Macaca mulatta: one gene and its partners. The protein of the gene in region 3 interacts with the protein of the main gene of each other region in a pairwise test. Links are inferred from orthologs where the notes say so. Each region holds a gene or a part of one and is shown on either strand. Other genes may lie near its edges.

Region 1 (5,773 bases), on a different chromosome or scaffold from region 3:
AGGAGCCTGTAATTCCAGCTACTCAGGAGGCTAAGGAACGAGAATCGCTTGAACTGGGAGGTGGAGGGTGCAGTGAGTCAGGATCATACCACTACATTCCAGTTTGGACGACAAAGCAAGACTTTGTCTCTAAATAAATAAATAAATAAATAAAAGGCCAGGTGTGGTGGCTTACACCTGTAATCCTAGCACTTTGGGAGGCCAAGGCGGGCGGATCACGAGGTCAGGAGACCGAGACCACCCTGGCTAACATGGTGAAACCCCGTCTCTACTAAAAAATGCAAAAAAAAAAAACAAAACATTAGCTAAGTGTGATGGTGGGTGCCTGTAGTCCCAGCTACTCCGGAGGCTGAAGTAGGAGAATGGCGTAAAACCGGGAGGCAGAGCTTGCAGTGGAGCTTGAGTTCGCGCCACTGCACTCCAGCCTGGGCGACAGAGCAAGATCCGTCTCAAAAAAAAAAAAAAAAAAAAAAAAGGCCGGGCGCGGTGGCTCACGCCTGTAATCCCTGCACTTTGGGAGGCCGAGGCGGGCGGATCACGAGGTCAGGAGATCGAGACCATCCTGGCTAACATGGCGAAACCCCGTCTCTACTAAAATACAAAAAATTAGCCGGGCGCGGTGGCGGGCGCCTGTAGTCCCAGCTACTTGGGAGGCTGAGGCAGGAGAATGGCGTGAACCTGGGAGGCGGAGCTTGCAGTGAGCCGAGATCGCGCCACTGCACTCCAGCCTGGGCGAGGGAGTGAAGACTCCGCCTCAAAAAAAAAAAAGAAAGGGCTGTGAGGATATAGTGGGCCTAGGGAATAATCGGGTCAGGGGCATGGACTTGGGTGACATTTGGGTGCGGGGTCACTGTTAAGACTAGAGCCCTCAGGCTGGGCGTGGAGGCTCATGTCTGTAATCCCAGCACTTTGGGAGGTCAAGGCGGGTGGATCACCTGAGGTCAGGAGTCCGAGACCAGCCTGGCCAACATGGTGAAACCCAATCTCTACTAAAAATACAAAATCAGTCAGGTGTGGTGGCAGACGCCTGTAATCCCAGCTACTCAGGAGGCTGAGGCAGGAGAATCACTTGAATCAGGGAGGCAGAGGTTGCAGTGAGCCGAGATTGTGCCACTATACTCCAGTCTGGGTGACAGAGTGAGATTCTGTTTAAAAAAAAAAAAAAAAAAAAAAAAACTAGAACCCTCCTACTTAAAAAAAAAAAAAAAAAAAATGGAGACAGGGTCTTGCTCCGTTGCCCAGGCTGGAGTGTGTGGTGCAGTCATAGCTCACTGCAGCCTCTACCTCTTGTGCTCAAGGGATCCTCCCACCTCAGTGTCCTGAGTAGCTGGGACTATAGGTGTGTGCCACCATACCTGGTTCATTTTTTATTTTATTTCATTTTATTTTGTATTTTTGTAGAGATGGGGTCCCGCTATGCTGCCCAGGCTGGCTTCGAATTCCTGGCCTTAAGTGATCCTTGTGTCTCCACCTCCCAAAGTGGTATTACCAAGGTCAGGCACCATGCCCGGCCTTAGAGTCCTGTTTGAATTTGGGGGCCCTCTTGGGACTGGGCTATTATTTGGGTCTGAAGGCACAGTCGGGTCTGGAGACCCTGGCATCCTACCCGGTCCTCGCGGCTGCCTGTCTCCTCTTCTTCAGGGCCTCGCGAACTGCAGCCGTCGCTGCTGCCGGGGATTCGCATCAGGTTCTTTTGCTCGGAGAAAGAGGCTGAGGCTGACGAACAGCGACGGGTGGAGTTAAGCGATGGGCGGGGTCACAATGTGTGCAGACCAATAAGCGGGAAGAGAGAGGACTGGGAACCAATGAGGCAGATCGGGTGGGGATGTTGGAAACCGATAAGAATCCTTCACACCTAGGAATGTGACCCTAGGAAGGTCTGGTTAGGGCTTAAGGAGGGAACCAGAACCTGAAGGCGAGCTAAGCCCTGAGCAGAGCTGGAAATGGGACTGGAGCCAAGGCCCAAGGCCAGGTCAGGTCACTGGGCAGGCAGGGTGTGTGTGGGGCTGGGGCCTGAGGAGCTGGGGCGGGGCTCAGGCACTAACCCTTGCCGTGGCGCCAGCAGCAGAGGGCCACCCCAGTGATGACCATAAGGAGAGTCGTGGTGGCAGCGGCCACTCCGGCCACTATCCGCACAGTGGGCAGCAGGTCTGCAGGGAGCAGAGGGGACATCCTGAGAAGGCTGAGGGGGAACCAGGAAGCGGGGGCTCAGGGATTGAGTTTGGGATCCCTGGGTTCAAAAGGTCGCACATTTGGAAATTCAAAGGCCCTTGAATTTGGGGTTCCCCAAGTTTGAGAGTGAGTTTAAACTCCCTGGCTTTAGGAAGTCTTGGAGTTTGAGGGGTCCTTTACTTTGCAATTTGCTTTGCAATCGTTGGAGTTTCTCTTTTTGGGGTCCCTAGGTGTGAGGAGTCTCTCGGTTTAGGATTCAGAATGTGAAGGCACTTGTGGTTGGGGGGGTCTTGGGAATCAACGAGCCACAGTTTTGAGACTCCCAAGGTTTGGAGGTCTCTGCATTTGAGGGTCTGAGGTTTTGCAACCATCGGCTGGGGGATCCCTGAGTTTGTGGGGTTTAGACTCTCCAGATTTGGGGTCTTAGGGCTGGGGTCTCACCTCTACGGCCCAGGCTGGCCCGGGCACCTCCCTCGCCCAGCCGGTTCCGGGCACTGCAGTTAAAGTTCCTGCTAAAGTCAGATTCCTGAGTCCTCGAAATGTGTAGCACAGAGATCAGGCCCGGACCCTGTCCCCCGCGGCCCTCCGGGGCAGGGAATGTCTCCACCAGGAACCGGCCCCGCGACCCCGCCTCCAGAAAGCCCTCATCCCAAGACCAGACCTGGAGGCATAAAAGAGGGAGGACACCGAGGAGACTGAGGAGGGGAGGAAGAAGAAGGAGGGATGTCTGGGAAGTCAGAGATGGTCACAGTAGTTTCAGGGGGCCAGGTGGGAGGTCAGGGATCACAGCTGGATGGGTCACGGGAGGAGTGACATTTCCTTACCACGGCATCTGGGGCGGGAGAGGCGAAAACCAGACACTGGAGGCGAGCAGGGCCCCTCAGGAAGGCAGGCTCAGAGTGCAGGGCGGTCACTACTGGGGGAGCTGGGATGGAGACGGTGGGTCACTCAGAGGAGAGGCCTTGCCCTCCCCAAAGGCTGTAACAAAGCCGGGTCTGGCCAGCGCACTCTCCGCTAACCTTAATCAATCAGGCCATGCTGCCTCCAAACTCCAATTCCCCTAAAAGCCTCGCCTTCAATAGGTCGGTCTCCAGGCCCCGCTGGGTGTAAAGCTCCTTCCAGGTCACTCCCACTGCATTAGCCCTTGCCCCCTCTGTCCACTCCCTATCCCAGGACGGGCTAGGTCCCCTAGGAAGCCCCGCCTTCTCACCGTTCACAGTCAGCCGAGCCTCCGCGACGCCACCCCCCTGGTCCGAGAGCCCAGGCTCAGCCCTGCACACATAGTCGCCTGCGTCCTCCGGCCCCACCGACGGAAGGCGCAGTGTGGCTCCAGAGCCCAGCACCTGCGACAGGGAAGGGGCGTCAGAAGCCGGATTTGCAAGGAAGCCTGGTCCCCCGTCAGCCACCGCCTCAGATTTAGGGCTGCACCTGCGCGCCACCGCGGCGGGTCCAGGTTACCCGTGGAAGCGGGTTCCCGCGCCAGGCACAGCTGAAGGAGGCGTCTTCCCCCACGTCCACTGACACGGGCTCTGGCTTTGCCTGCAGAATCGGCCCAACTGGACGAAGGAGATGAGGGGTCACAAGGCCGGGGAGGAATAGCCCCTGACCCGGGATCAGCCCCATAGAAACACCACACCCTCTAGGGCGCAAGAATATGCCCCAAGTCCACTCTCTCCTCCTCCTAATACCCCACGCCCACTCTCCCAGCCCCGCCCCTCCAAGCCCCTCAGCAACCCTGAAAGCCTCGCCCACCTTTGACCACACCCACAGCCCCGCCCCAGCTCACACAGCACATCCAGCGCAGTGCTGCGGTTGGCGCTACCCACGGCGTTGCTGACCTCGCAGGACACGGGCTCAGTCAGGAACGAGGCGTCTGCCACGACCTCCAACCTTGGCCCGCGGGCCCCGAGCACCGGGGAGCCCCCTTTTGCCCACCTGAGGAAATGGTGGCGCTGTTAGCGTTGTCCCTGCTCTCCGTCACACTTACTCAGGTCCCAGCCCTTCCCAAGCTCACTCTTGGGGCTAGGGAGAGGTGGTCTTTGTCCTCACCTGTAGCCTGTGACAGGAGGCTGGGCTGTGGCCTGGCACAGGAAAGTGACCTTCTCTCCCTCCTGCACAGTATGTGGTGAAGCAGACAGAGTCACCTCTGGGGAGTCTGTGAGGGTGGGACAATGGTCAGGTGGGCAAGGACCAGGAACACCTCTGTCACTGGCCTAGGGGTCCAGTTCCTGGTTCCTCCACCCCAGGAGTCTGGGCCCCTAATCCCCTTCTCTCTTTGAGTCAGGAGTCTGGGCTTTCAGTTCCCAATTCCCCCAGTTACTTCTATCCTTTCCTACTCTGCAAGATGTGAGAGTCAAGACCCAGCTTCCTCTTTCCCCAGGGACCCCAGCCATCTGTCCTCTCCTGCTCCGAGTCTCACTCTGTTGCCGAGTGGCACGATCTCAGCTCACTGCAACCTCTGCCTCCCGGATACAAGTGATTCTCCTGCCTCAGCCTCCCAGGTGGCTGGGATTACAAACATGTGCTACCACGCCCGGCAAATTTTTGTATTTTTAGTAGAGACGGGTTTCGACATGTTAGCCAGACTGGTCTCGAACTCCTGAACTCAGATGATCCACCCACCTCGGCTTCCCAAAGTTCTGGGAGTACAGGCATGAGCTACCATACCCGGCCCTCTCCTACTCTCTTAGATCCAGGAATCAAGGTCCCAGTTTCCTCATTCCCCAGGGGCCACAGTCCCCTCCTTCCTCATACCCAGGAGTCAGGGCCCCACACCCCTTTTCCCCAGGGCCAGCTGCACTCACACTGCAGGCTCAGTGTGATAGCTGTGTCCCTTCCCGCAGGCAGGGCCTGGCTCCGGGCCCTGCAGACCAAGGTGGCTCCATCGTCATGGCTGGAAGGGGTCAGGGTTAAGGTGCTCTCCACTGATCCAGGGGTCCTTTCCTTCAGCAGGGTCTGGAGGGATGGATAAGAATAATAATGCCATCTACCCCTTACATCAGGGGTGTCCAATCTTTTGGCTTCCCTGGGCCATATTGGAAGAAGAATTGTCTTAGGCCACACATACTAACACTAATGATAGCTGATGAGCTAAAACAGTTACAAAAAAGGCTCATAATGTTTTAAGAATGTATATGAATTTGTGGTGGGCCACATTCAAAGCCGTTCTGGGCTGCATGCAGCCCACAGGCAACAGGTTGGATAAGCTTGCCTTACTTATATACGGTTCACTATGTGTTGGGCACTCTTCTGGGAACTTATAGGTATTTATTTATTTAATCCTCACAATACCCTATGACATGCATGCTATTATTATTCCAATTGTATAGATAAGGCAACTGAGGCACAGAGAGGTTAACTAACTTAAGATCAATCAACTAGCAAGTGGCTGAGACGTGATTTGAACCCAGGTAGTCTGGCCCTAGAATCTTTACCCGGCATCATATTTCAAGAGTCCAAACCCTTGAACCCCTGCCCTCCCATGTCTTCTTCTCCTCGGGATGAGCCTGCAGTCAGAGTGTACCCCAAGTTTTCCTGAATGGGCAAAGGCTAGCACAGGAATTTGGACCTCACCTGATGGAAGGTGGTTCCATCCAACCGG
Region 2 (6,247 bases), on a different chromosome or scaffold from region 3:
CGGAGCTTGCAGTGAGCTGAGATCGCGCCGCTGCACTCCAGCCTGAGCCACAGAGCCAGACTCTGTCTCAAAAAAAAAAAAAAAGAAAGAAAAATAAGTCACTGAGTGCAAGGTGAGGGTTTAGGAAACTTCAGGCCAAGAAAGGGGGTTTTCCCACGGCCTCCTGGATGGGACCAGACCCTCCCAGGGGCCTTTCTGCCTGGAGTCCTCCGAGAGACCCCTTTCCCGACAGCGGTGATGGCGCGGCTGCGTCTGGGAGCAGAGCATCCGGGAGATGGGACGGGGAGCTGGAGAGGGCTTTGCGTGTGTTGATGAACTGGGTCTCTTGTGTGCCAAGTGGTCACATGCCCGGACGGCTGGCCCCACACTGGTGGCAGGGGTGAGGGACACAGCAGGACTCTGGGGTGGGCTAGCACTGGGTGGGGGTGGGGGTCTTAGGCCTGGGAGCCCAGAAAGGGGAGGGATGGTCAGGGACTCTCCCTGCATGGGGGACCGACAGGCTTGAGTCTTCAATGATGAGTAGAAAACCACCAAGCACAGAAGGGGGAAGTGCTGGGCAGAGGCACAGGGGAAAGGCTGGGTGGGGCACAGCACGGAGAGGGAAAGGCTAGGGGGGCACGGAGAGGGAAAGGCTGGGTGGGGCACGGAGGGGGAAAGGCTGGGTGGGGCACGGAGGGGGAAAGGCTGGGTGGGGCACGGAGGGGGATAGGCTGGGTGGGGCACGGAGGGGGAAAGGCTGGGTGGGGGCACAGCACGGAGAGGGAAAGGCTGGGTGGGGGCACAGAGGGGGATAGGCTGGGTGGGGCACGGAGGGGGAAAGGCTGGGTGGGGCACGGAGGGGGATAGGCTGGGTGGGGGCACAGCACAGAGGGGGAAAGGCTGGGTGGGGGCACGGAGGGGGAAAGGCTGGGTGGGGCACAGCACAGAGGGGGAAAGGCTAGGGGGGCACGGAGAGGGAAAGGCTAGGGGGGCACGGAGGGGGAAAGGCTAGGGGGGCACAGCACAGAGGGGGAAAGGCTGGGTGGGGGCACGGAGGGGGAAAGGCTGGGTGGGGCACAGCACAGAGGGGGAAAGGCTGGGTGGGGGCACGGAGGGGGAAAGGCTGGGTGGGGCACAGCACAGAGGGGGAAAGGCTAGGGGGGCACGGAGAGGGAAAGGCTAGGGGGGCACGGAGGGGGAAAGGCTAGGGGGGCACGGAGGGGGAAAGGCTAGGGGGGCACAGCACAGAGGGGGAAAGGCTAGGGGGGCACGGAGGGGGAAAGGCTGGGTGGGGGCACAGCACGGAGGGGGAAAGGCTAGGGGGCACGGAGGGGAAAGGCTGGGTGGGGCACAGCACAGAGGGGGAAAGGCTAGGGGGGCACGGAGAGGGAAAGGCTAGGGGGGCACGGAGGGGGAAAGGCTAGGGGGGCACAGCACAGAGGGGGAAAGGCTAGGGGGGCACGGAGGGGGAAAGGCTGGGTGGGGGCACAGCACGGAGGGGGAAAGGCTAGGGGGCACGGAGGGGAAAGGCTGGGTGGGGCACAGCACAGAGGGGGAAAGGCTAGGGGGGCACGGAGGGGGAAAGGCTAGGGGGGCACAGCACAGAGGGGGAAAGGCTAGGGGGGCACGGAGGGGGAAAGGCTGGGTGGGGGCACAGCACGGAGGGGGAAAGGCTAGGGGGGCACGGAGGGGGAAAGGCTGGGTGGGGCACGGTGTGGCAGAGGCGGGAAATTCAGCTCCTTTGACGAGCTGCAAGGAGGTCCGGAAGGCTGCAGCCTGGGGAATACTCCAGTTATAACCATGATTTTGTTGTGAGAATCGAACAGCCTAGTTTGAAGTTATTTCTCAGGAGAGGTTGGAGCCGGAAGGGTCTGTATCCCTGAGGGTGCAGTTCTAGCTGCTGCGGATTGGAAACTTCGCCAAAACCACTTAGTACTGAGGACACTTATTGTTTCAAGTAACGAGAAGCCTGGACACAGGGTGGATTCCAGAGCTGCTAAGTTCAGAGGCTTGACAAGGGCATCAAAGACCCGCTTTTCAGTCCATCTGCCCTCGGGCTGGCAGGCCTCATGGTCACAAGGCGGCTGCCTGGGCTCTGGACATTACAGACGGGCCCAGCAGTGACAGCAACGGGAAATGCGGTCTCTTCCTTGTGTCTCCTTTTAAGAGAGGGAAGCCATATCTAGATAACCCCTGCAGGGTCCCCTCAGGCCTCCTTCCTAAACCAGTCCTGGGAGGTCCCTGTGAGCCACGACTGCCAGGACTGAGTCCTGATGCCAGCGCAAGCCCAGGTGACCGGCATTGTAGACAGCGCAGGGGTTAGAATGTGGACTGTGGAGAATGTGGGGGACACTCTCCTGTTGCCGCGGCCACCACAGACACATTTGGGTGCTGAGGGAGTGAGGCCGCGGGGGCTGGGAAGGGACCTGTACATGGGGGACAGCAGGCGAAGGTCACTCGGGAACCAGCCCAGCTCTGAGGCTGCAGGCAGGTTGGAAAGGGAGCTCAGCGGTGACCCCCGTGGCCTCCAGAGCTCTGTGTACGAGAGCCGGCGGGTCACAGACCCCGAACACCAGGACCCGGACAATGCGGAGCTGGGACCGGAGGACCCGGAAGAGGAGCTTCCCCCCGAGGAGGTGGCCGGGGAGGAGTTCTCGGAGACCCTGGATCCCAAAGAGGCTCTTTCTGAGTTGGAGAGAGTTCTGGACAAGGACTTAGAGGAGGACATTCCTGAAATCAGGTGGGCACCGCGGAGCGGCCCTGCCCGGGCGCGGTGGGGTAGGGCAGCAGCCCCCTGGGCGCAGGCCCCTGGGCGTGCGAAAGCGTTGTTCCCGGCCGCTGGCCTGGCTCGCCGAGGGGCCCAGGCTGCCGAGTCAGCCTAGGTGTGGGCCTGGTCAGCTGGCGGCCAGCACCCCTCACTGGGCCCTGAGGCAAACACCAGCACACGCTCCCCTAGCCAGTGGCAGGAGGTGGAGTAAACAGCGCTGAGTTTGGAGTCAGGCAGACTGAGTTCAGGTGCCCAGAGTTCACAGTTTAACAAGTGATGACCTCAAGTCAGACAGCGAGAAAAAGAAATGGGGAAAAAAAAGCCTCCCAACTCAAAAGCTGAAACAATTCTAAGCACCACAGGTGGCTAAAACGTTTTAAATGGTCGGGAGGAACACGTTCAGGGTGAACGAACGCTTCAGCGAATCGGCACTGGGGGCAGTGATTCTGGGCAAGTTGCCCGAGTGTCCGCAGCAAGGCGCGCACTGTACCTACCTCTGGAACTTGGCTCCTGCCCTCCCTGCAGTGTGGTCCCGGCCCACGCCCACACCCAGGTGCTCCCTTCTCACCGTGGTCTCCGTGCTGCCCAAGAACAAAGCAGCGGCCCTGTCCTCACGGGGCCGTGCTAGCCTGCAGAGAAAACGGCAGTAGTGTGAGGGGCTCCCGGGGAGGACACGGGAGCCAAGAGCTGCGACAGGGCAGACGTCCTGACGTTTGGCATCTTCGCCTGCTGCCTGTGTCCCTCCCGCGGTCTGTGAGCTTTCTGGGAGGCAGGCGCTGCTCTCTTTAGAGGCTGGTGGCCCCTCTGGGGCCTGGCATACAGTAGGTACTTGATAAATGTTTGTGAGATGCGCAAACATTATCTTAGAACTCACTGAAACAGCCCCACCAGGTGGGAGCTGGTCTCATGTCCAATTCACAGAGGAGGCGGCTGAGGGCCTGGGGAGCCGGGTGCCCTGGCCAGGGTCTTCCATCCAGCCAGCAGTGGAGCTGCGGTTTGGTCCAGGCCTTCGTGGTGCCAAAGTCCTCCCCCAGAGACCCTTCTCAGGAAAGGAGAGGCGGGTGGGCAGGGCGCTCGAGCAAGACCTACGCTTCTCTGGGCCCCCGAACGCGTCAGGGCGAGAAAGCAGCTCCAACTTCAACGTGGAATTCTCCCAAAGCCGGCTGTCCATCAGCCAGAAGTTCCCCAGCACCATCATGGCCAAAGCAAGGAGGAAGAGGCGGCGGAGGAGGCTCATGGAGCTGGCAGAGCCCAAGATAAACTGGCAAGTCCTGAGAGACAGGTGAGGACAGGCCAGACCAACCATGGCCTCGTGGGGGCAGCGCTGGGGCTTCCTCTGTCCCCTTCCCGGGCTCCTCCTGTCCCCACTGCTCGGCTCCCCTCCCACAACCGCCACCACATCCAGCAAACTTAGGGTAGACGGGGTTGGCCAGTTAAGGAGGTGGCCAGACGCCGGGACTGGCTAGGGAACTGCGGCCCTCGGTGGCCCTCTGGGCGGTGGCCAAAGGAGAGTGAGGAGTTTGGGAGCAAACGGGAGACCCAGGGCAAAAGGCAGTGGGGGCTCGGACCCTGTCTCCTCGCAGGAAGGGATGCTGTGGTAAGGGGTATGCCTGGATTTTCCCATGCAAGATGAGCTTACGGTTCTGTCTCTACTGGTAAGTCCAGGGCTGTCTCCTCCATCTGCCTATGCCGGGGGACACGTGTCAGGTTCCGGGGAGCCCCTCCACTCGAGCCACCCTCTTCTCTCTAGGGAGGAGGATGGGGAGGGCTCCTCAGATGTGGGGCTCTCCACCCTTGTGCTTTGGACTCGGGCAATCGGCTGGGACCTGGGTCTGCTCCCAGGAGATGGCCCTGGGCCCTCTTCTGAGCTATGCTTTTCCCCAGCTACCTCCCTCTCTGGACATCAGCCTTGCTCACAACAATCCACACGTCCCGGTGGCCCCCTCCCTCCTACCCCCTCTTCCAGCAACTCCACACCCGCCCTTGGCCACCCTCCCGGCAGAGACCCAGGCTTGTTTCCGGGCAGGGCCAGGGCTCTCTGCCTCCCCTGCCCTGAGCTGCTCACTTATTCCAGGCCCTCTGTGTACTGGACCGAGCGGTTCCTTGAGGACACCACCCTCACCATCACAGTGCCCGGTAGGTGGAGCCCGTGCCTGCTGAGACCCCTGCCTCCGGCTGCTGGCCTCCAGGGAACCTGCCCCACCCCATCCAGATACTTCTGGCCTCCCTTGCCCCATATCCTGGGAGCCTCTGTCCTCTCCACTGGAGTCTGTCCCCTGAGGAGCCTGAGCTGAGACTGGTCCTGGGGGTGAGGGTTGTGGGGAACACGCTCCAGGACAGGGCCAAATCGGGGCAAGAATTTACAAGAAGACCCCCGGCTTTCCCTTCCACAATGATTTCCATGCTTTTCTTGAGAGGAATTTGGTATTGAGGTATCATAGATGCCTTCAAATGAGACACTTCGAGAGTTCCCCATAGAGGAGAGTAATAGTCCAGTTCTCTCCTGTGCTGTTCCTGACTTTAGACCCACAGTCATCACTAGGCCCCCGGAAACCCCAGGCTTGTACTAACTTCAGAACAAAACCCAGTTTCCCAGATCTGTACTGAGCCCCATTGAGGAGCCACGGGGCTGAGCTGCCATTCCAGCCCTGCCACTCCCATCCCGTGTCCGAGCAAGGACCTTCAGGCCTCTGAGCCCATTGTCCCTAAATCAGGGACAGCAAGTCTTCTCTCTGCAGGGTGTCTGGTCCCCAGCTGTCTCTGCCCACAGTTTTTCCAATTCGGCCTCCTGCCCAAGCTCGTGAAAAGCTGAATTCCGCATGCAGAGCCCCTGGGAACTGCAGGGTGTTTACGCTGGGGTTCACCGACTCCGTTTCCCGTTTTGCGCAGCAGTGTCCCGCCGAGTGGAGGAACTGTCTCGGCCCAGGAGATTCTACCTGGAATATTACAACAACAACAGGTACGGGAAGGATGGGAGGAGGACTGGGTGCCTACTCGGAGGGCAGAGTTTGGCAGAAATGCCTTATTCTCCCCTGACAGGATGCGGCGTGGGGAAGGGTCCAGGTCCTAGCTCTAGGCAGCCTGTGTTCAGATGGGGCTGGCCCGCTTCCCAGCCCACGTCCCCAGCAGGCTGCTGGGCCTCTTGCAACCGCATTGCCAGCTGTGGAATGCTGGCGGTGGAGGTCACCCGTGAAAGGGGCTTTACACAGTGCCTGACACAGCGCGTGCTCAGATGTTGTTATCACCATTGTGACTGTATTTTGTTTACTCGAAAAAGGTAGAAATTGTAAGACATATTATGTACAAAATTCTTTATCACTTAGAGCCCCCGTGCTTGTTAAAAGTGATACTGAGTTATTTCGACAGAACATGTCATTACCCATCTTTATGCAGTGTATGAAGGAAAGCACAGCTGAAGGAGACAGCAGAAGTGTGTCCAACTGTTTTGAACCACTTCTGACACAGAGACGATGATGTGGGTGTTGCACACGCTGTTCCACA
Region 3 (6,421 bases):
CTCCCACTTCAGGCCAGGGTATGAGGCCACCAGGGGCCAGGGTCTTTAGAGCTGGAACTCCTGGGCTGGGGGCTACGGTGAAAGGTAGAGAAGATACTCTTCTTTCTCAGCCCCTTTCCTGCCACTCAGGCCCAGGTTTCCTCTGGCCCAACATCTGAGGATTGCCTGGGCTGTCAGCCACGGGGCAGCAGGGGGCCACACAGGTGGAATGTGTCCACGGGGGGTGCCTGGGCCTCTTCCTTCCTTCTTGGCTTGGCCCACTGCAGCTGCCACCTTCTCAGGCCCAGGCTAGCCTTGGGTCCACCCCCTGGGAGACAGTCAGCACTCAGAAACCAGGGTAACCCAAATAGGGTATGGGCATCGCTTCTATTTCCTTCCCAGAATCCCCCAATGCCCTAGTCTATCCAGCTGGACTCTGGTGAGGACAGAGTAAAGGGCACCAACAAGGCCCACCTGTCTCTGCCCATACCCCTCTCCCCGCCCTTTTCCCTGGCAAGGCTGGCGACTGAGGAGACTGAAGGGAGCCAGTCTTGTATTTCTTCCTGACTGGCAGTGGGGCGGGGTTTGGGGGAGACTGTTCCTCTACAGATGGCTCACAACCCCTGCACCTCCAACAATCTCCCCTCACAAGGCACCTCCCAGTGAACCTCCTGGAGCTCAGAATGGCTGTGTAACTGGCTATGGTGTATGAAGCCGCTCAAGCTACAAGGTTTGCATCCTGGCTCCTACACGTACTGGCTGGATGATCTTGCACAAGTCACTTAAGCTCCCCAAGCTTGTTTTCCCATCTAACTAAATGAGATACTACTACTTCCTACCTCCTAAGGTTGTTGTCAGGCTTAAATGTAATGATACTTGTAAAGCACCTGGCAGATAATAAATACTCAGAAAATAGTAGCTATTATTTTACTATTAGCACCCTCACTCATACTGGGGCCAGATAGCCCCAGTATAGTTTCACAGGCAGGTCTAGGTCAAGGAGCTGGACTGGAATTTTTTTTTTTTTTTTGAGACAGAGTCTCGCTCTGTCGCCCAGGCTGGAGTGCAGTGGCACAATCTCGGCTGTCTGCAACCTCTGCCTCCTGGGTTCAAGTGATTCTCCTGCCTCAGCTTCCCGAGTAGCTGGGACTACAGGTGTGTGCCAACATGCCTGGCTAATTTTTTGTATATTTAGTAGACATGGGGTTTCACCGTGTTAGCCAGGATGGTCTCGAACTCCTGACCTCATGATTGCCCGCCATGGCCTCCCAAAGTGCTGGAATTACAGGCACGAGCCACGGCACCCTGCCTGGACTGGAATTTTTAAATAGAGATAGGGTCTTGATATGTTGCCCAGGCTGGTTTCAAACTCCTGGGCTCAAGCTATCCTCTTACCTTGGGTTCCCAAAGTGCTGGGATTACACGCGTGAGCCACCATGCCAGCTCAGATTTTTTTTTTTTTTTTTGAGACAGGGTCTCACTCTGTCACCCAGACTGGAGTGCAGTAAGTCCATCTCAGCTCACTGCAATTTCCACCTCCCGGGTTGAAGCGATTCTCCTGCCTCAGCCTCCCGAGTAGCTGGGATTACAGGAGGGCACCACCACACCCGGCTTAAACATTTTTGTATTTTTAGTAGAGACGGAGTTTCACCATGTTGGCCAGGCTGGTGTCGGCTAGGCCTTTTTGTTTTTGTTTTTTTGTTATGAGTTGGGGTCTCACTCTGTTGCCAAGGCTGCAGTGCAGTGGCACGATCATGGCTTACGGCAGCCTTAAACTTCTGGGCTCAGCCAGGTGAGGTGGCTAATGCCTATAATCCCAGCACTTTGGGAGGCTAAGGCAGGTGGATCACCTGAGGTCAGGAGTTCAAGACCAGCCTGGCCAACATGGCGAAAACCCACCTCTGCTAAAAATACAAAAATTAACTGGGCATGGTGGCAGGCGCCTGTAATCCCAGCTACTCAGGAGGCTGAGGCAGGAGAATTGCTTGAACCAAGAAAGTGAAGGCTGCAGTAAGCTAAGATCATGTCATTACACTCCATCCTGGGTTACAACAGCAAAACTCTATCTCAAAAAAACAAAACAAAACAAAAAAAACCTACTCTGGGCTCAAGCAAGCCACCTGCCTCAGCCTCCTGAGTAGTTGGGACTACAGCCACATGCCACCATGCCCAGCTAGGTTTTTCTGTTTTTTGTAGAGATGGGGTTCTCACTATGTTGTCCAGGCTGGTCTTGAACTCCTGGTGATCCTCTGGCCTCAGCCTTCTAAAGTGCTGGGATTACAGGCGTGAACCACTGTGCCCAGCCTTGTCTGAAATTTGACCTGGACATTCTCAGCCTAGGCCCAGGGAGAGAATAGGAGGCCCCAGGCCCATGGGGCTTGCTGAGGACACCAGTGGGGGCAGTGGTTGCTCCAGCCCAGTCAGCCTGACTCTAGTAAGCATAACTCTTGAGATCTCCCACACAGGTCCACAGGTGTAGACACCTGCATGCTGCTTTGCCACTCACAAAGTCCATGCCCACCACCATCTCATCAGATCTCACAAAAGGCAGGCAGGACAGAGTATCATCCCCATTTTACAGATGAGCACAAGGAGGCAGGAATAGAGCAGGCTTATGCCCGAGGTCACTCAGTTATCAGGACCCAGGTCCCCTGCCTCCCAGGCCAGAGCTCTTCTGTCTCCCTAAAAATACTGCCCTGGTGATGAAGGGGATGATCAGCTTTTAAGGGCAGGGGGACAGGAGATGCACTAGAGCCTGGCTCTTCTCCCCAGCTGCCAGCCCTGTGATTGGAAGGCACCCAGAAGCCTTTCCAATGCCCCATGCCAACCATTCAACTCTTCTGTCCCCCACCCCCAACATGCCCACTATCCAGGAGGACCCCGGCCAGGTCCCACAGCTGTGAGTCAGGATCAGAACAGACCCCTCCCCCACCTTCTAGAAGCTGACAGGAGACTTAAGGGGAGAAATTCAACTCCCTCAACCCTCACCCTCTGCTACCGGGCACCAACCCCAAGCTCTGCTCTCCCCCATGGGACCTGGAAGTCAGAGAAGTCTAGGGAAGGGGGCTGGGGAGCAGGATCCCGCAGCTGCTCTGGGGACAGGAGAGGAACAGTTCATTCACCCTGGGTCCCCCAGGGCAGAGGCAGCCTGTCCAAGATTTGAGTTTAAAAATAAGTTGGGGCTGTCTTGGTGGCTGTGTGTGTCCACGGGGTTCTTCTTGATCTCGAACTTACTGTCTCAGGGCCTCTGCCCCATGGGGGATTGGTGGGCTCAGAGTTTCTGTTTCCCCAGAGCCTCACTTCCCAATGGTTCAGGTCTGGGTAAGTCAGGGGCTGTCCTGGAAGCTGTCAGCCCACCTAGGTCTCTCTGCCCCCACTAAGTCTCAGTCTCCGGTGTCTGTCTCTGCTTCACTCAGCATCTCTGTGTCTGGACACAGCTTCTGTCTTTAGCTTTTGGACGACTCTGTACCTTGACTGGCTGTCCCCCGGCGGCCCATGCCTCTGTGGATCTCAAGTCTTGGTCTCTTCTTGTCTACATGGCTGAATGTCTCAATCCCCACCACATCCCTTTCTCTGTCTCTATATCCAAGTCTCTTTCGCCACCTCTGCATGCCTGAGTGTCTCTGTCTCTAGTCTCTGAGTGTCTCTGCAGGCCTCAGAGAGCAGATTCAGCCTGAGGCCAATGACGCCCAAGCCTCAGGGCACCTCCAAGGCCTGGGGAAGGGCCCCAGGGAATGTGTTCGCTGGGGTCCCACGTATGTTTTCTGAAAATGCTCCAGAAAGCCTGGGACGGCCCCCATGTCTCGGGTCTGTCCACCGGTAACACTGTACGCCCGGTGTGTCCTTGTTTCAATGGTCTCGGTAGCCTCCTCCTGTGCCTCGAGTCCCTGCCTGTCTTGGTCTCTCGCTCCACTGGGCTCTGCGAGAACCTCAGTTTCTCCAGCGCTTCTGGTCGGTCTGTCTCTATCCGGCTTTTCTATTTCAAACTTAGCCCCCTCCCCCGCCCAACTCTCGCTGCCACCCCCGCCCCCGCCCCGCCCCGCCCGGCAGCCCGGAGGGGTCTAGTCCGGGCGGGCGCTCTCCCGGGCTCGGCGTGCCCCGGGCACCTGTGGCCAGAGCCTGGCGGGTACAGGGGGCCGGGGCCGCGGCTGGCCTCAGCCCTCCGCGGGTCCTTTCGCTCCCCGGCCTGGGCGCGGGGGCGGACTGCCGGGGCTGGGAGCCGGGGTCGGCGGGGCGCTCACCTCGAAGCGGGCGGCGGGAGCGGGGAGCGCGCGGCGCGGGCGGGGCGGGGAACCGGGCGCCGCGTCCCTCGGCGGCTCCTACCTGCGGGCCGGGCCAAGCGGGGGCCGAGCGAGCTGCCGGCTAGGCTGCCGACTGCAGACGGACCGTGTGGGCGAGTGGGAGCGCGGCCCCAACCCCTCCCCGAGGAAGTGAGCGCGGGCCCGCCCCGCCCGGACCCCGCCCCCGGCCCCCCAGCCCGCTGCGGGGGCCAGACCCCGCCCCCACCTCCCTTTCGGCCGCCAGCGGGCCCGGCCCCCTCCTCCTGCCCGGCCTAACCTGGCTCTCCCAACCTTCAGGCGGCCGGGACCCCGCCCCTGTCCCCTCCCCGCAGCCTCTGCTCTCCTCCCCTCCCACCCCCCCCCCCCCCCCCCCCCCCCGTCCCCAGCTGCCAGAGGGAGACTGTTGTATTCTATCTCAGGCCGGGGACATCAGACCCCACAGACCATGGTCCACTGGGGAAGAGTCCTGTGGCCTCCTCGGATTTCCCCACCCCCTCACCTTACCCTTAGGGGTGACACTCAACCTGGCCTTAATCCAGCCTGGAGGAGGAGGTTTTGACTCTACTGTCATGAGCCTGTCAGCGGGCACCAATGTGTTCTCTGAAAACATGGGGCGAAGAGAGGACCCCTCCCCACCACAGGGCCTTGACCTCCAAAGGGTTTTACTCCACAACTTTGAGTAGCAAAAACAGGGGTAACCACCTCCCCACCTCCAGTGGCCTCCTGACGCTGAGAAGTCCTGTCTTGCCTGGGTTTCCGCAGTGCCCAGGAATAGTTTTGACCTTTGAGGCCCAGGAGAGACCCTAATCCTTGGCCCCATGATCTTTGGGCTTCTAGGGTGGGGTGTGAGGAGTGTGAGAGGATGGGGCACTGCAGGGGTGGTGGAGGAGAGGGGAGGGGACCTCTGCAGTGTCTAAACCTCTGGCTTCCTCCCTGTGTCCGTGAGGGAGGACTGGCGCCTGCTAGGGACACGAGGCCCCTCCAGGTCCTTGAGGCCACCCCCCCTGGGATCCTCAGGCTTGTCACTAGGAATAAATAGCCTCGGTCTGGAAGGGGTGGGGGAGGGAGGGAGGCAGGAGGCTCTACTGTGCTGTTAGTGGAAACAAGAGACAACAAAGCAACCCTGGAATAACCTTAGCGTCTAGAGTGAAGATTCAGGTGCCCACAGAGGCCTCCCCACACCCCAGGCTGGGTGCAGCGGAGCTCTCACAGAGGAACTAACACCCTCCCAGGCTGGGACTCCTGAGAACCTTTCCCTCCCATCTCTGTGTCATGCCTGGGTTCCTGGGTCCCAAGTCACCCTCCAGGCCTGGTTTCCTTTCAAAATTAAATTATTGCTTGTTTATTATTGCTGTTGTTGCCTAAATGGTAAGAGCCATGAAGGCAGGGCTCCGTTTTGTTCCCCACAGCCTTCTCAGTACTTACTTCAATATCCGGCACATAATAAACATCTGATGAATGAATGGATAGCAGACACTGCTTCAGTATGTATGCCCGTCTAACATCCTTGGTTTGTATCACAGGCACCTGTTATCTGGAGTCCAGGCAGTGAGCATCCAGCCCATGGATGGGGACTTTCTCTGGGATTTTTTTTTTCTTTTTCTTTTTTTTGAGACAGAGGCTTGCTCTGTCACCCAGGGCGGAGTACAGTGGCGCAATCTCGGCTCACTACAACCTCCACCTCCTAGGTTCAAGCGATTCTTCTGCCTCAGCCTCCTGAGTAGCTGGGACTGCAGGCACGCACCATCACACCCAGCTAATTTTTTTTGTATTTTTAGTAGAGACGGGGTTTCACCATATTGGCCAGGATGGTCTCAAACTCCTGACCTTGTGATGTGATCTGCCTGCCCCAGCCTCCCAAAGTGCTGGGATCACAGGCATGAGCCACCATGCCCGGCCTCTCTGGGATGTATCTGGCAGGTGTAAGGGACTCCCAGCCCAGGGGAGTGCAGTGAAGACTACTCAGCCTTGGTGGAGTGGGTACCAAGAGGAGGTCAGCTCTGGGGGACGGGAGCGCAAAGGTGGGGAGCCTTCAGAAAGCAAGGGGAAATGAGTGAGTACAGAAGAGGCCTGATAAAAGGCAGAGTATTGGAATCTCTGTTCTTGATGCATGGCTCTAATCTCTCCTAAATAGTCTTAATGAGAGCCAGTACTTACTGAGT
Region 4 (6,272 bases), on a different chromosome or scaffold from region 3:
GTCATTCTGAAGAATCATCCTAGCTAGTGAGCTCCCTAAGGGGCTGACAAAGACTGCAATTGGCCTGCATCACAGCTTAGCTTCCACCTCTGCCTGCTCCTGCTTCCTGTATCACTCCCACCCACAGATGTTGGTCGTTAGTCAAATACTGCAGACTAAACTCTCAAGAAATGACATTACATACAAAGAAAACCCTTAGGAATTCATGCAATGCAGTATTTACAGAAATAGTATTATTATTCATCTATAATTTTTACCTTGCATGCTTCCAAAATAAATTTGAGGCAGCTAACAATCATCATCATATTTAACTAGCAGAAACAAACATACGAACACAAACTTTATGTATAACAGGAAGGCTATTTTAAGTGATTAAAGTTCAACATTCCAAATAAAAATTTTAACTGATACTAACCAATGACAAACTCTATCTCAGTAAAAATATGTTCTGGCTTTTGCATCTATGTGAGCACACATATAAGAAAATCAAAAGTAGAGAATACTTATGCATATAGTTGTGGGTGTGACAGTGGTGGCAGTGGGTAGGTTGTTAGGGCTGTGTGCAGCTTTGAGAAGGAAGAGATGAATTTAGAGGCTCTTACTCCTCTAAATGGAAAAAGAGAGTATGATACACAAGGACACAGGACTACTGAGGGAGAAAAGTAATCATCCATTTATCCTGTGGTTTCTGTTTTGAGATGGCCAGTACGATATTAAAGGTACTAAGTGAATGGAAAACAAGCAAGGGGAAATGATAACTGTTATACTATTAGCTAGAAAACTGTCTAAGGTCATTGAGTATAGTAGGGAATGGCAAGATACAAATCCTTATTTTGTAACCTGCTATCTAGTTATGGGATCAGATTCCGTATCCACTACTAGCTCATAAGGGTACCCTTGTGGCAGCTGAAGACAGACAAGGGCGTGGCTTCTTCATTTCCAAGGGTGAAACCTCAGGACTACTTCGTGAATGTCTTTCATTCACTAGAGTCTTGATAATGCTGGAGACTTCAAGAGTCTGGGAGGTCAGTAGGCAACTGGGAAGTTTAAGTTGAACCGCCAAATATCATTGCAAACTTCAGCCCAAACATCACTCAACACAAAGGCTTGTCATCTCTTGGTCCAAAAATGCGCTATATGTTTGTCATAATCTGTCAGTTTTCTTAACTGGGCAAGCCCAAGCTTGCTATTAGACAATAAACACTTTGATGCCCAGTCTGAGTTTTTGTCCCAGCTCAGGAAAGGCAAGGGGACAGCCAAGGCAGACTGGTTCAGACTTGATCAGGGCAGCTCAACCAGCAACTGGCTTACTAGTCAACTAGCAAAGTGAGCATGAAAAGGTCCAGGAATCCTTCTTCCCCTGGGCCTTAAATTGTAAATCAGACAGCAGCCAAGGAGAAGCTGGGTGGTCAGAAGCTTCGTGGAGCCTACCCCCACGAAGACTCCTTCCAGGGAAGGCCCAGCAACCCCAGGCTAGAGGAGTCTCTGTGGACACCAGAGACCATTGCTGGGCTGGCGGATTGAAGGATGACCACTCAGAGGTCACAGATAAGGGGTTATCTAGATCCTTGCTATTCAGAGTGGTGGGAGGGCCAGCAGCAGCAGCATCACTTGGGAGGTTGTTAGACTTGCAGAATCTCAGGACACAGCCAATTGAATCTGAATCTGCATTTTAATTCACAGGCACATTAAAGTTTGAGAAGCACCGGTCCAGGTGGTGGCAAAGCAGCCAACCCGATGTTCTGCTTCTCAGCCCCTCCTCCTCCCCACCTCTGCTAGCCTCTTAAGCAAAGCTCAATCCTGCAATGGTCCTGAACAAAATTTCTGCAAATCCCGAGTGCTGGGGGAGAGGGCGTGCAGGAGCTGCCCCCGCCGGGGACCGCTGGGAGTAAGCGTGACTGGATTGGTCGCCTGCTCCAGCTCCCGGCTCCTGCACCCGGAGTGTAGACACGCCCCCCGACCCTCCCCCTCACCTCCACCCCCGGCCGCAGCTACCGCCTGCCTCCCGCCGGCTGCAGCGAAAACCCGGAGCAGCTGCGTGCGCTCATGGACAGTCCTCCGAGGAGCGAAGCCGGGCAGCTGGGCATGCTCAGTAACTGGGGGAGGTTTGGGTGGAGAGTAGAAAGCTGTGGCTCTGCCTCCCACCCCCTCCCGCTGGCCCCCGCCCCCCTTGCCCCTACCCAGCCCGTAGTAGTTCCCCAGCGTGCGCCCGGGGAGACCGGGAACATGGCGCTGGGAGCGCTGTAGCAGCTGAGAAGGGGCTGAGGCACCGCCGCTTCGCTGACAGCCGGCCACCAGGTAGGCAGGCGCGCCTGTCGGGGCTGCCTGGGTGGGTGTCCGCGCGAGGAGAGGCGCCTGCGGGGATGCGCGCCGCTGGTACCCGGAGCATCTCGCTTTGATGGGAGAGGATGCGAAGAGGACCTCCGTGACAGCGAGATCATGCATCTCCTAGGAGATGCAAAGGCTAGGGACCTGCTGCCTGGAGGGTAGGGATAGGGGACCGCCCACCCCCAACCCTTGCGCTACTATCCAGCCTGGGCTCTCTACGGGTCAAATAAAGGATAGTTCCATTTTGCTGGGCGGGAGGGCGTGGAGGAGAACCCCGGATTCCAGCCCTGAGATCCTGCTGGTACCCCGAACCGCTCGCAAGCCCAGCACCAGTTCTTTGTGTGTATACAGCCGCGCACACCCTGGGGGTGTCACGGCGCTGCTTTTCCCGAGGAGTGCTGGACATATTGCCAGGGCAGGATTCCCGTATGGTTTTTGTCTTTTGGCAGGTGTGGACTGGAGGATGCAATAGCTGAGCCTTTATGGGGCTGTGTTTTCCTTTGTTATTTGTGTGTGTGTGTGTGTGTGTGTGTGTATGTGTGTGCGCGCGTGTGTGTGTGCGCGCGCGCGCGTGGTGGGTTGTAATGGAGAGAGAGAGAGAACTTCTGCTTGTGGGCACCCTTGTGGGCAGGGCGTGGAAGAGGATCTCGGTTCCAAACTCTTGTCAAAATTGTGTGCCATGTCAGCCTCCTAGAGGGTAAACTTGAGAAGTCCAGGGATCATCACTGCTCAGTTTGGAGGATAAGCGCGATCGCCCTTCTTGAAACCGTGTGTGTGTGTATATGGAGCTTTCAACTCGGGCTGAGTTAATTTGTCAACATTAGATATCAATTAAGGAAACCTGAATCGCTGAGGCTATTTATGGTGATCTTTTTATGGCCAGAATAATAAACAAAAAGAAAAGTTGGCACAAAGCCAGAGGAAAGTGTCATTGTTAATAGTTGATGACAGCTTGAAAGACTGAACACACTTTTAGGGAAATCAGGAAACCTGGCATTCTACAGAGTTCTACCAAGATATAGCCACAGGGTCTTAGGTAACTCACAAAATCTCTTAGTGCAACCGCTTCTCTTTTGGGGCTTGGAGGCTGTAGACACTCTTTTTCTTACCTGATACAGATGGACAAGATGCTTTTTAGAAGCCCCTCCCACACTAGAATTATATGAAAATGACACCCTATAATAACAGCTCTGCCACCTTAGATTTGTGTATCTGTTATATTCAATAGTACAACAACTCAATGTTGGGGAGAAAGGTAAACAGGTTAGTTAGGGAGAAAGGTAAATTTAAAGTATGGGTTTATCTTTTGCTTTATAATATAAAGGATAGGCATCTTGGATATGAAGTTTGGAGACAGTTTCCTCTGCACTCGTGCTATTTATTTTTATAGTCTTGTTAGGTGGCGAGAATGAGTCAGTATCATCAAAATGAAGTGGAGGAATACATAAGGAAAATGCATTTAAGTAAATCAAAGCCATAAATGTCCAATCTGATGATAATACCTTGACTTGGAATACATATGTGCAAGGCAGGTGCACTGCTAAATGGAAGCAATAGAAGCCAATGGCAAGTTCCTGGGTAATGCTGACCTTAGACTAAAAATTGTGTGTTCTTCTGTGAATAGGTAGAGATTGTACTAGGTCTCTGCAGCTTGTTATTTTATTAATAATGTGAGTTTTAATTGCTATTAATTAGATATCAATTGAAAATTGATATCTAAGCATTGAATCAGTTAATATCTAAGCACTGAAAATCTAGTCTGGCAGTGCCTTTCCACTCTGTCAGGGCCTGCTGAAATGCTGTAGGTATGGGAGGCAGGCATTTGAAATCTGACTCTTCTGTGTTTAGCTTTGTGATTCTGGGAAAATTACTTAACTTTCCTAAGCCTCAGTTTCCTCACTTATAAAACAGTCCTGGGAATAGTAAGACCTACCTAGATGAGTAGATGTATGGATTACTCATAATTTAAATCACCAGGAAAATGGTGATGACCATTATGAGTAAGAGGGAAATGGATATTTACTGAATCTATACTATGTGTCCTATATAATGATTCAGGCTCAGTTAATTCCCTTAAATTTCCCAACTATATTAGTTTCCTAGGGCTGTTATAACAAGTTACCAAAACTGGGTGGCTTAAAACCACAGACATTTATTCTCTCATAGTTCTGGAGGCTAGAGGTCCAAAATCAAGGTGTTGGCAAGGCCGTGCACCCTCCAAAACCTCTAAGGGAGGATTCTTGCTTGCCTTTTCCAGCTTCTGGTAGCCCCAGGTATTCCCTGGCTTGTGGCAGCATAACTCCAATCTCTGCCTCTGTCTTCACATGGCATCTTCCTCTCTGTCTCTGTCCCTGTGTCCAAATTTCCCTCTTCTTATACGGACATCATTCATAGTGGATTTAGGACCTGTTCCTTATTCAGTATGACCTCATGTTAACCAGATTACATTTGCAAAGGCCTGACTTCCAAACGTCATATACACAGGTTCTGGATGGGCATGAATTCTTGGGAGACACTCTTCAGCCCAGTACACCAACATCCCTCTGAACTGTGTTTAATGACCACATTAACATTATGTTAGCATAAGAGCAGAAGGTAAAGATAGAGTAGCATAGGTTCAGAAAATACTTTAAAGATTATTTAAGGGAACTAACCTATTTGAGGCTTTATATACACAACCATGGTAGGGAAGAGCAGGGTTCAAAGGTACCTCACTTATACATGTCACTTACCTGGGAGCCACGACAACCCAGGACCTGGGTCTTCTAGAGTATCTCAAACATACTCTGTCCCCAAATGATTTGTTGATGTTGCTTTCCATCCTTTTTGCTACCCTTCCAAGCAAATGCAAAACAAACAAAATGCATTAAACAACAAAAACAATAATAGCAACAAAGATAAGCTAACAACTTTCTAGTCCTTCTTAACCTGGTAAATGGCACCACTATCCATGGAGTTGCTTTAACCAGAAACCCAACCAGAATCACCTTTGACACCTCCATTCCCTTGACCCTCCACATTTAAAACCATCATATAGTCTCATAAATGCTATTTTCTATATAGATCTCTAAATACATCTTAATAAATTCTTTCTATCCCCGCCACCACCACTATCAAACTTCAAGCTACCATCTCTTACCTGGACCACTAGTATAACTTCCTAACAAGAACCTTGGTTCCTTGCCTGGCTCTTCTAATCCTTCATGCAGAGCAGATAGGATAATGTCAGTTCCCTACATAAAATACCACCCACATACCTGGGACAGATTCCAGAGACTCCTAGAGCCTTTGGTACTTGGCCAGCCTCATCTTGTGCATCTCTTCCTCTTGATGCTGTCACACTGACCCTCTGTCTGTTTCTGAACATCCCCAACCATCTTCCCTCTATATTTTACCAGTGTGGGTCATACTCATCCCTTGGGCTTCCTTGACCTCTCTTCCCCACCAACCCAACTCTCTCATCATCCTTTTACTTTTATTCCACACACTTATTCCAGTTTGCAATTGCCTGTTTGTTTGTTTGGCTATGTCTGTAAGCTCTATAATGGCCATTTATTTTATGTCTTATATGCAGAAGGTCCTCAATAAACATTTGGCGAATGAGTGAAGGAACGAATACTCTGCCTCATAGCATTTTCCTGTGCCAACTTAAAGATCTGATTTTTAGAAGGTTTTTTTTTTTCTAGTGTAGAAAGAGCAATTTAGAACCTTATTCTGACTTCAAAAGGGGAGTATTCTTGGCTTTAACAAATGCATCTTTTAAGAACTGATTTAGGCTAGAAGTTAAGAATTGAGTCAAAATATTTTTTTGGCAACTGAGGTTTTTGTAAAAATACATCAATCAGTCAACAAATATTCTGCAAATATTTATTGCATGTGTATATTTGCCATGCTAAGGCCCTTGGAAGACAATGGTGAGCTAGACTTTCAGTCTTCTGGAAATT
Region 5 (6,352 bases), on a different chromosome or scaffold from region 3:
TTGTAAAAACTTGTAAATTAGATATTAATTTGTTATATTTCATTTTATTTTTCTTTATCTAAAGAATAATTTTGTAGTTTCTAATATTTTGGGAAAAAATACTCTTTTGAGACAAAATGATATAATCACTTCAAATAATGGCTGTGAGCTTCTGCAGAAGACAGGTAAAGAAAAACCAACTGAAACAGAAATAATCCCCAACAAATGAGCTCCAGTACCTCTGGGATTGGTCCAGGCATGTGGGTGAATTGTGTAGCAGGTGGGATTTGGCTTCAAATGTCAGTGATAGATCCTGCTCACAAGAGAGCCCTAAACCCTCCTTCCAATGATGCTCATTTTCAAGGACCACTCCAAACTACCCATTCCCTTTCTAGGTTGAGAGTTCTTAAAATGTATAGCTATCTACAGAGAACCCATTAAATATTTATTAAGGTGAATGTGTTTAAAGCTCTTGCTTTGCTTCCTTGGAATCCAATGTCCTGAATTTAAACAACCAGTTAACATCTAGAACAATAAAAGGTTAAAGATAGAAGGACTATAGAAATTACTTACGCTGATAGTTAGGAGTACAGATTTTGGAGACCTGGTTGCTATCTGACCTCTGTGAGTCTTTGGGGGTAGTTACTGAACTCTCTGACTAGCATATATAAAACAAAGATAATTCTTCCTTTTCATAGATGGCTAAGAAGATTAAATAAATAACAGATTGAATTGCCTGTTATAGTATCTGACTTGTAGTAGGTATAGTAGGTATAATTAAATAGTAGTAGCTGTTATTATTTATTACAAGTTGTTTTCCCATAGTCACTCAACTAATTAGTGCTAGATTCAAGCCTCTTGAGTTGCATCATACTTATGTCCTTGCTACTAAACTTGCTTCTTTCGGTGGCCGGTCTTAAAAGCAAAATCATTGCTAAAGGAAAATCTTAAAGTAATAGAGTATTTGTGACTGATTGCATTTTTCTTTAAGAACATTCTCATTAATAGCTTGGTCATTATCAATGTCCCTCTTTGATGATTATAGTTTAAAAAGGGATGTTACCATTATATCCAAGAAATTCCTTATGAAGCCTTTTAAATTCATCTTACTTGAAGTCTTTGGGGTGGATGCCTTTTAATAATACTTGTTTCTCTGTGTTCCAGTGGGATGTCAAAATCCACATCTCTGGATGCTTGAAGGATTGGAGAAGAAACAAGAATAAAACGTTAAATATAATTTACTATTAGATCAGGTAATCATTAGTTACTAGACTTTATCAACACAATTTTGTACCTTTCCAGTTATATATGTCTAACCTGTAGGTTGAATGTGGAGATGAAACACAGAAAGCAGGGAACCTACATTAGTGCAAATGACACTGTTTTAGTCTAGACTTGGGATTTAATATCTGCTCTCCTAACTTCCTACTCAGGTTCATATTTAGGGGAAGAATTACAAAATTACCAATATGTTGACTGCAAATATTTTTCAAACAGAATTTGGCCTGGAAAATAGAAATTTATTGACTTGTTTTAATTCCATAAAATCTCCTCACTGAAATATAAGACATCAGAAAAATATATAACTTTAAAAAATGAAAATAATCTTCTTAGATGAAATAGATGATAGATAGATAGATAGGTGATTATACAGAGATGAGACAGAAATGGAGTATGTGTGAACACAATTCAATAGCCCCTTTAGTGAAAAAAATTTCCACAGATTGCCACTATAATACAGCATATCAATATTCTTTCCTGATGAAACAAGCCAGGGATACAGAGTTAAGCCTCTATTAGGAAACAGAGAGGCTCAACAGATCCATTATGGATTTTATTTTCCAGCTTGATTATCCTGAGCTCTTGGGAGTGCTACCATGACCAACGCTGCATGAGTGCAGTTCTTGTCTTTCCCTTTTAATAATCTGGACACATTCTGATTTCTAGATTGTTTCACAGAGTATTTTACAGTCCCACTTTGCATTTTAAATGGAAAAATCCATGGATAATTATGCATCTTTCTCTTTAAGACATGTGAATGACCGCTTTAAGGACTTTGTTCTCTCTGACTTTTAGTGGTATGCAAACTATGTCCTTATTTTCTTTTGAAAAGATGCCAGCATATTGAGCAGGATGGAAACAACAAACATATTGGATTTAAAAATGTAAGTATTTTCAGCTATTTTTTCAGAAATCTTACTAATCCTTATTTTTTTATTTTAGTGATGTTAGTCCATTATTTAATTAGATTCTCCTCAAATGGCATAGGCTGTGTCAGGCATTTATTTTTACCCCTGATTACAAGTGAAAAAAATTGATGAAGTAACTTGCCCAAGGTCGTTCGATTTGGTATTTGATGGAGCTGCGGTGAGAATATGGGAGATCATCATGAGAATCCTCATGATCTCCTTGTTATTTATTTTCAATGTGATTTTGTCACTTCAGACATAAGCATGTTTTCCAGTTGGGACTCTAAAGCACATGAATCAGCTTTCACCATTTATTCAGTTACCTAAATCTTTTTTTTTTGAAACAGAGTCTCTCTCTATCACCAAAATCTTAAAACTCTCAATGGGGATTTGGATAAAAAGGGAATTCCTCAGTAGGAGCATTGCATACTCTTAGTGCACATTCACCCTCCATTTTTTAAATCGTGTCTTGTCACCTATTCGTCTGTCATAAAAAATTTCCTAAGGGGAAAATTCCCATCTATGTGCTTAAGAACTTGAAGACCATAAAGAACATAAAAATAGGCCATATAGAAACAACCAAAGGTTATCAATTCTGCAGACAGTAGACATGAAAAATCATTCCAGGCAAGATTTGCTAGGTACCAAAAGAGAATGTGAGGCTTTCTGAATGAGGCATCCAATAAGGGAAACTTATTTGTGTTATTGATCCAGAAGGTGAAGGAAAGGGAAAACAATATACATATGCATATATATATATAAAAAATAAACATATATTTTTCTAAGTGAAGATGTCTGTTTAATTATCATTGTGGTCATGATAAAACATTTTACATGGCTTATAAAATATTCCAGGATAATTTATAGCCACTTCAGGCTCAGAGCTTCCAATCATAGTGGGAAAGAATTCTGTTAGTTCTGCAGATGACCATGAAGAATGTGGGGTTGGGAAAAGGGTGACTCATCCACTCCAATGTACTGTAATAAATCAATTCTGTTTAGGGTGGTTTCAAAATTCATGTTAGAATTAACTCACTCTTAAAGTGCTGCTTTCAAAACCACAAAGCCCGGTGCATAAAACTATACTGGAGAGAATGATTTAAATTTAGAATTTAACTGAAATGCGATTGCTATCATTTATCACATTAGTATCTATATAATTTTAATGGTCTGTCAAAGCTAGGTATAAATATTGAAAGCATTACAAACTGAGCTGAAACAAAATGATTTATCCTTCTCATATGGAATGGTGAAAAGCCCTTTGTACAGTTTATACTCCCATTCTAATGCACCCAGAATACTTTCAATTGACATTCAATCCTCTTTGAAAGATTTGAGTTTTCAAAGATAGCCTAAATTCCTCTACATTTCAGTAATTTAGAAACTTTCTGAGATCATGGAGACAGTCAGATAAATCTATTAATAATGCTCCTTGGTCCAGATACACACATCTCATGCTGGGTTTTATGTTTACCTGCATAGTATCTTCCATACCAGTTTTCTTGTAAAGGTGGCAGCTGCCCTTCCAAGGCTTTATTCTGGTCCTGCAGTCTTGCCAGTGAATGTGAAGTCTTTTCTTCCAAATTCTGATTGAATGCAAAGTCCACAGGGCCAGCTGAGGGAGTCTCTACCTCTTTGTTTTGCAAAGGTGCTACTTTGATCACCCTCGGGTGAGTCTTAGAGTGACTCAGGCCCATTTCATGTGAAAGACATTCAGAGGAAAGCTGCGAGGAAAGTGGTTTTGGGGTCTTTAATATAGCTTGTTTTAATCAAGGCATTTCAGAAGTTTACCCTGGCTTTACAAAGCAGTCATTTCCTTCATGGCATCCTTCTAGCTCTGTTTCACTGCACACTAACCCTTTTGGCCACTTCCTGGGAGGCTGGTTTCCATGGAGACTTCCCTTCAACTTTGCCATTTCAGACCCAAAGAATCCAGTTAAACATTGACTTGGTTATGCTGCTTTCTGAAATACTCAGTGATAGGAATAGAAGCCACTATTGATCATTAAACAAATATCTAACACCAGGAAGATTATTAACACAGAGAGAGATGTAGAGCAGAGGTTTAGAGAAGTCTTGAACTTGACGCTTTCACTGCAAGCACCTTTGTAAAAAAACTAACAGCTGAGAATAGCTAAGCCATCTTTGCAACTAAGAGGATGCATGCTAATTACCAAGGCCTTGTTAATCTTTAATTTAATTGAAGAATTTATCCTCCAAGTAGGAAAGAAAGCAGCGGAGTGGCTAAAGCGTCATTTGATTTTTCTGTTGATGACTTCAGTTGCCTTTGAAGGGGATGAATACATTGCAGGACAGGAGGATAATAGAAACTTTTTTCCTGGGGATGAGGGGAAAAACTTCTTAAACATAAAAAGATAGCCTATTTACTATGTTTTTAAATTTAATTAAATTCATTTATTTATTTTTGAGACAGAGTCTCACTCTGTCACCCAAGCTGGAGTGCAGTGGTATGATCTTGGCTCACCACAACCTCTGCCTCTCCAGTTCAAGTGATTCTCCTGAGTCAGCCACCCAAGTAGCTGGGATTATGGGCACCTACTACCACCACACCCATCTAATTTTTGTATTTTTAATAGAGAAGGGGTTTCACCATGTTGGCCAAGTTGGTCTCAAACTCCTGATCTCAAGTGATCCACCTGTGTTGGCCTCCCAAAGTGTTGGGATTACATGCATGAGCCACAGTGCCCGGCCTATTATGATTTTTAAAGTAGAAAAAAGACTAGAAGGAAATATGCTGAAATATTGAGTAGTGATTTTTGAATGGTGGGATTATGGGTGATTTTTATTTTATTCTTTATACTTAGAAGTGGGACTAACTTTCAAGCTCTAATTGTTCATGACCACAGATTACTTGTGTGTTCATCACATCTCCATAGAGAAATTAAAAGAAAATGTATTTTTCATCTTTGCAGAATCCATTTCCTAAGGGACTAAGGTGGTGTTTGGAAAGTCTTGGTAGACAATCACATTTATCTAAAAAGATGCCTGAATTTAGTTTTTTCCTTATTCTCTTTGCATTTTCCACATCATTTTCTCTGCAGCAGAGAGATTTATAAGTAAAGACTAATATATTAACAGTATCTGCAAACAAAACAACTTTTGGTAAACAGACTAGTTTAATTACAAGGATAAAAATACTTGAACAAGGTCTAGTAAGATTTATTTTGGGGTACAATCAGTTTAATTATTTCTAAGGGCAGAGGAATGTATTACAAACTAACAAATGAACTAGACATTGTGCTGAAAACTGTGGACTTCATGGATCTGGACCAGTAAGAGGGATTCAGCTCTTATGTTTTGTTTTATTATTATTTAATTTTCAGACAATATTTGTGGAGAACATGAGCCTTTGTTGAGGAAATTGGTTAGTCATTGAAGGAATGATTAAAGAAATAAAGATGCATTTCTGTGTTTCTTTCTCTTTTCATTACTAATGACTATCAAGCTTTGTGACTTTCCTGATCTGTGAAATGGGGTTAATAATAATACTTTGTGGGAAATGAACCTGATTCCATTTATAGCACTTAGAATAATACCTGACATGTAGTAAGCTCACAGTAATCATTAGCCAGTATCCTCCTCCTCTGAGGAAGTATTGCTACATATCTACATGTGCATAGGATAGTCCTTGTTGCCAACTGGTCAGAAATTAAAACAGACATATTCCTGTCTAAAGGAGTTTGCCCCTAGGTATAGAAAAGACCAATGAGGGAAGGGTAAATTAATCTGGCCAATGTTACTGGGAAAACCACCATGTCTAAGGATTATCATGAGAAAATATTCATACGCTGAAAGGATTTTGTTAAAATGATAGTGAAACATTTAAATTTTATGAAAAGAGAAAAAGGAGAGTTTAATTTCACGTATAGAGTTCGATATAAGATGTAATTTCTTATTGCTAGAGTTGTAAAACATTAAAAAGCTCTCACCCAACTAAAACCTTGACTACTTCCCAAACACTTTATGGATACTTTATAATGACCACTCCCTAGTTCAAGAATGACTGTGACTATACATTATTGTGTTTAAAAATGATAAAATATGCTGTTATTTGTAACAGTCAGAATTCATGAACATGGAATGAGAATATTAATTTATAAAACTCTTAAGATGAAGCTCAGAAGCGATTAGCTAAAGTTTTCTAAAGCTGAAGATAGTGTCCA

Evidence for each region. The genes of interacting proteins can lie anywhere in the genome.
Region 1: the proteins of FHL3 (region 3) and KIRREL2 interact in binary tests that used the Homo sapiens proteins (3 or more experiments, as listed by UniProt). The two-hybrid records come from large-scale screens. The link is inferred for Macaca mulatta from reciprocal best matches to the Homo sapiens genes FHL3 and KIRREL2.
Region 2: the proteins of FHL3 (region 3) and SPMAP2 interact in binary tests that used the Homo sapiens proteins (3 or more experiments, as listed by UniProt). The two-hybrid records come from large-scale screens. The link is inferred for Macaca mulatta from reciprocal best matches to the Homo sapiens genes FHL3 and SPMAP2.
Region 4: the proteins of FHL3 (region 3) and PAK5 interact in a two-hybrid assay, tested with the Homo sapiens proteins (2 studies listed by BioGRID and IntAct). The two-hybrid records come from large-scale screens. The link is inferred for Macaca mulatta from reciprocal best matches to the Homo sapiens genes FHL3 and PAK5.
Region 5: the proteins of FHL3 (region 3) and CCDC198 interact in binary tests that used the Homo sapiens proteins (3 or more experiments, as listed by UniProt). The two-hybrid records come from large-scale screens. The link is inferred for Macaca mulatta from reciprocal best matches to the Homo sapiens genes FHL3 and CCDC198.

What each region holds. Positions count from the first base shown.
Region 1 is NC_133424.1:47,105,207-47,110,979, reverse strand, and holds part of KIRREL2 (kin of IRRE-like protein 2), read right to left. Parts: coding exon 5,746-5,773; intron 5,128-5,745; coding exon 4,977-5,127; intron 4,328-4,976; coding exon 4,222-4,327; intron 4,108-4,221; coding exon 3,959-4,107; intron 3,729-3,958; coding exon 3,601-3,728; intron 3,516-3,600; coding exon 3,383-3,515; intron 3,098-3,382; coding exon 2,997-3,097; intron 2,834-2,996; coding exon 2,614-2,833; intron 2,151-2,613; coding exon 2,046-2,150; intron 1,717-2,045; coding exon 1,607-1,716; intron 1-1,606. UniProt on the Homo sapiens protein: May regulate basal insulin secretion.
Region 2 is NC_133424.1:1,024,872-1,031,118, reverse strand, and holds the start of SPMAP2 (sperm microtubule associated protein 2), read left to right. Parts: upstream 1-2,123; 5' UTR 2,124-2,252; coding exon 2,253-2,719; intron 2,720-3,905; coding exon 3,906-4,028; intron 4,029-4,329; coding exon 4,330-4,401; intron 4,402-4,820; coding exon 4,821-4,882; intron 4,883-5,635; coding exon 5,636-5,705; intron 5,706-6,247. UniProt on the Homo sapiens protein: May be involved (but not essential) in spermatogenesis.
Region 3 is NC_133406.1:202,787,919-202,794,339, reverse strand, and holds the start of FHL3 (four and a half LIM domains protein 3), read right to left. Parts: upstream 4,408-6,421; 5' UTR 4,221-4,407; intron 3,934-4,220; exon of another isoform or gene 3,591-3,933; coding exon of another isoform or gene 3,449-3,590; intron 1-3,448. UniProt on the Homo sapiens protein: Recruited by SOX15 to FOXK1 promoters where it acts as a transcriptional coactivator of FOXK1.
Region 4 is NC_133415.1:74,157,276-74,163,547, forward strand, and holds the start of PAK5 (serine/threonine-protein kinase PAK 5), read left to right. Parts: upstream 1-2,148; 5' UTR 2,149-2,298; intron 2,299-6,272.
Region 5 is NC_133412.1:130,592,686-130,599,037, forward strand, and holds the start of CCDC198 (factor associated with metabolism and energy), read right to left. Parts: upstream 4,125-6,352; 5' UTR 3,866-4,124; coding exon 3,643-3,865; intron 1,173-3,642; coding exon 1,090-1,172; exon of another isoform or gene 1,085-1,089; coding exon of another isoform or gene 1,043-1,084; intron 1-1,042. UniProt on the Homo sapiens protein: May be involved in tuning the metabolism, energy expenditure, and excretion processes.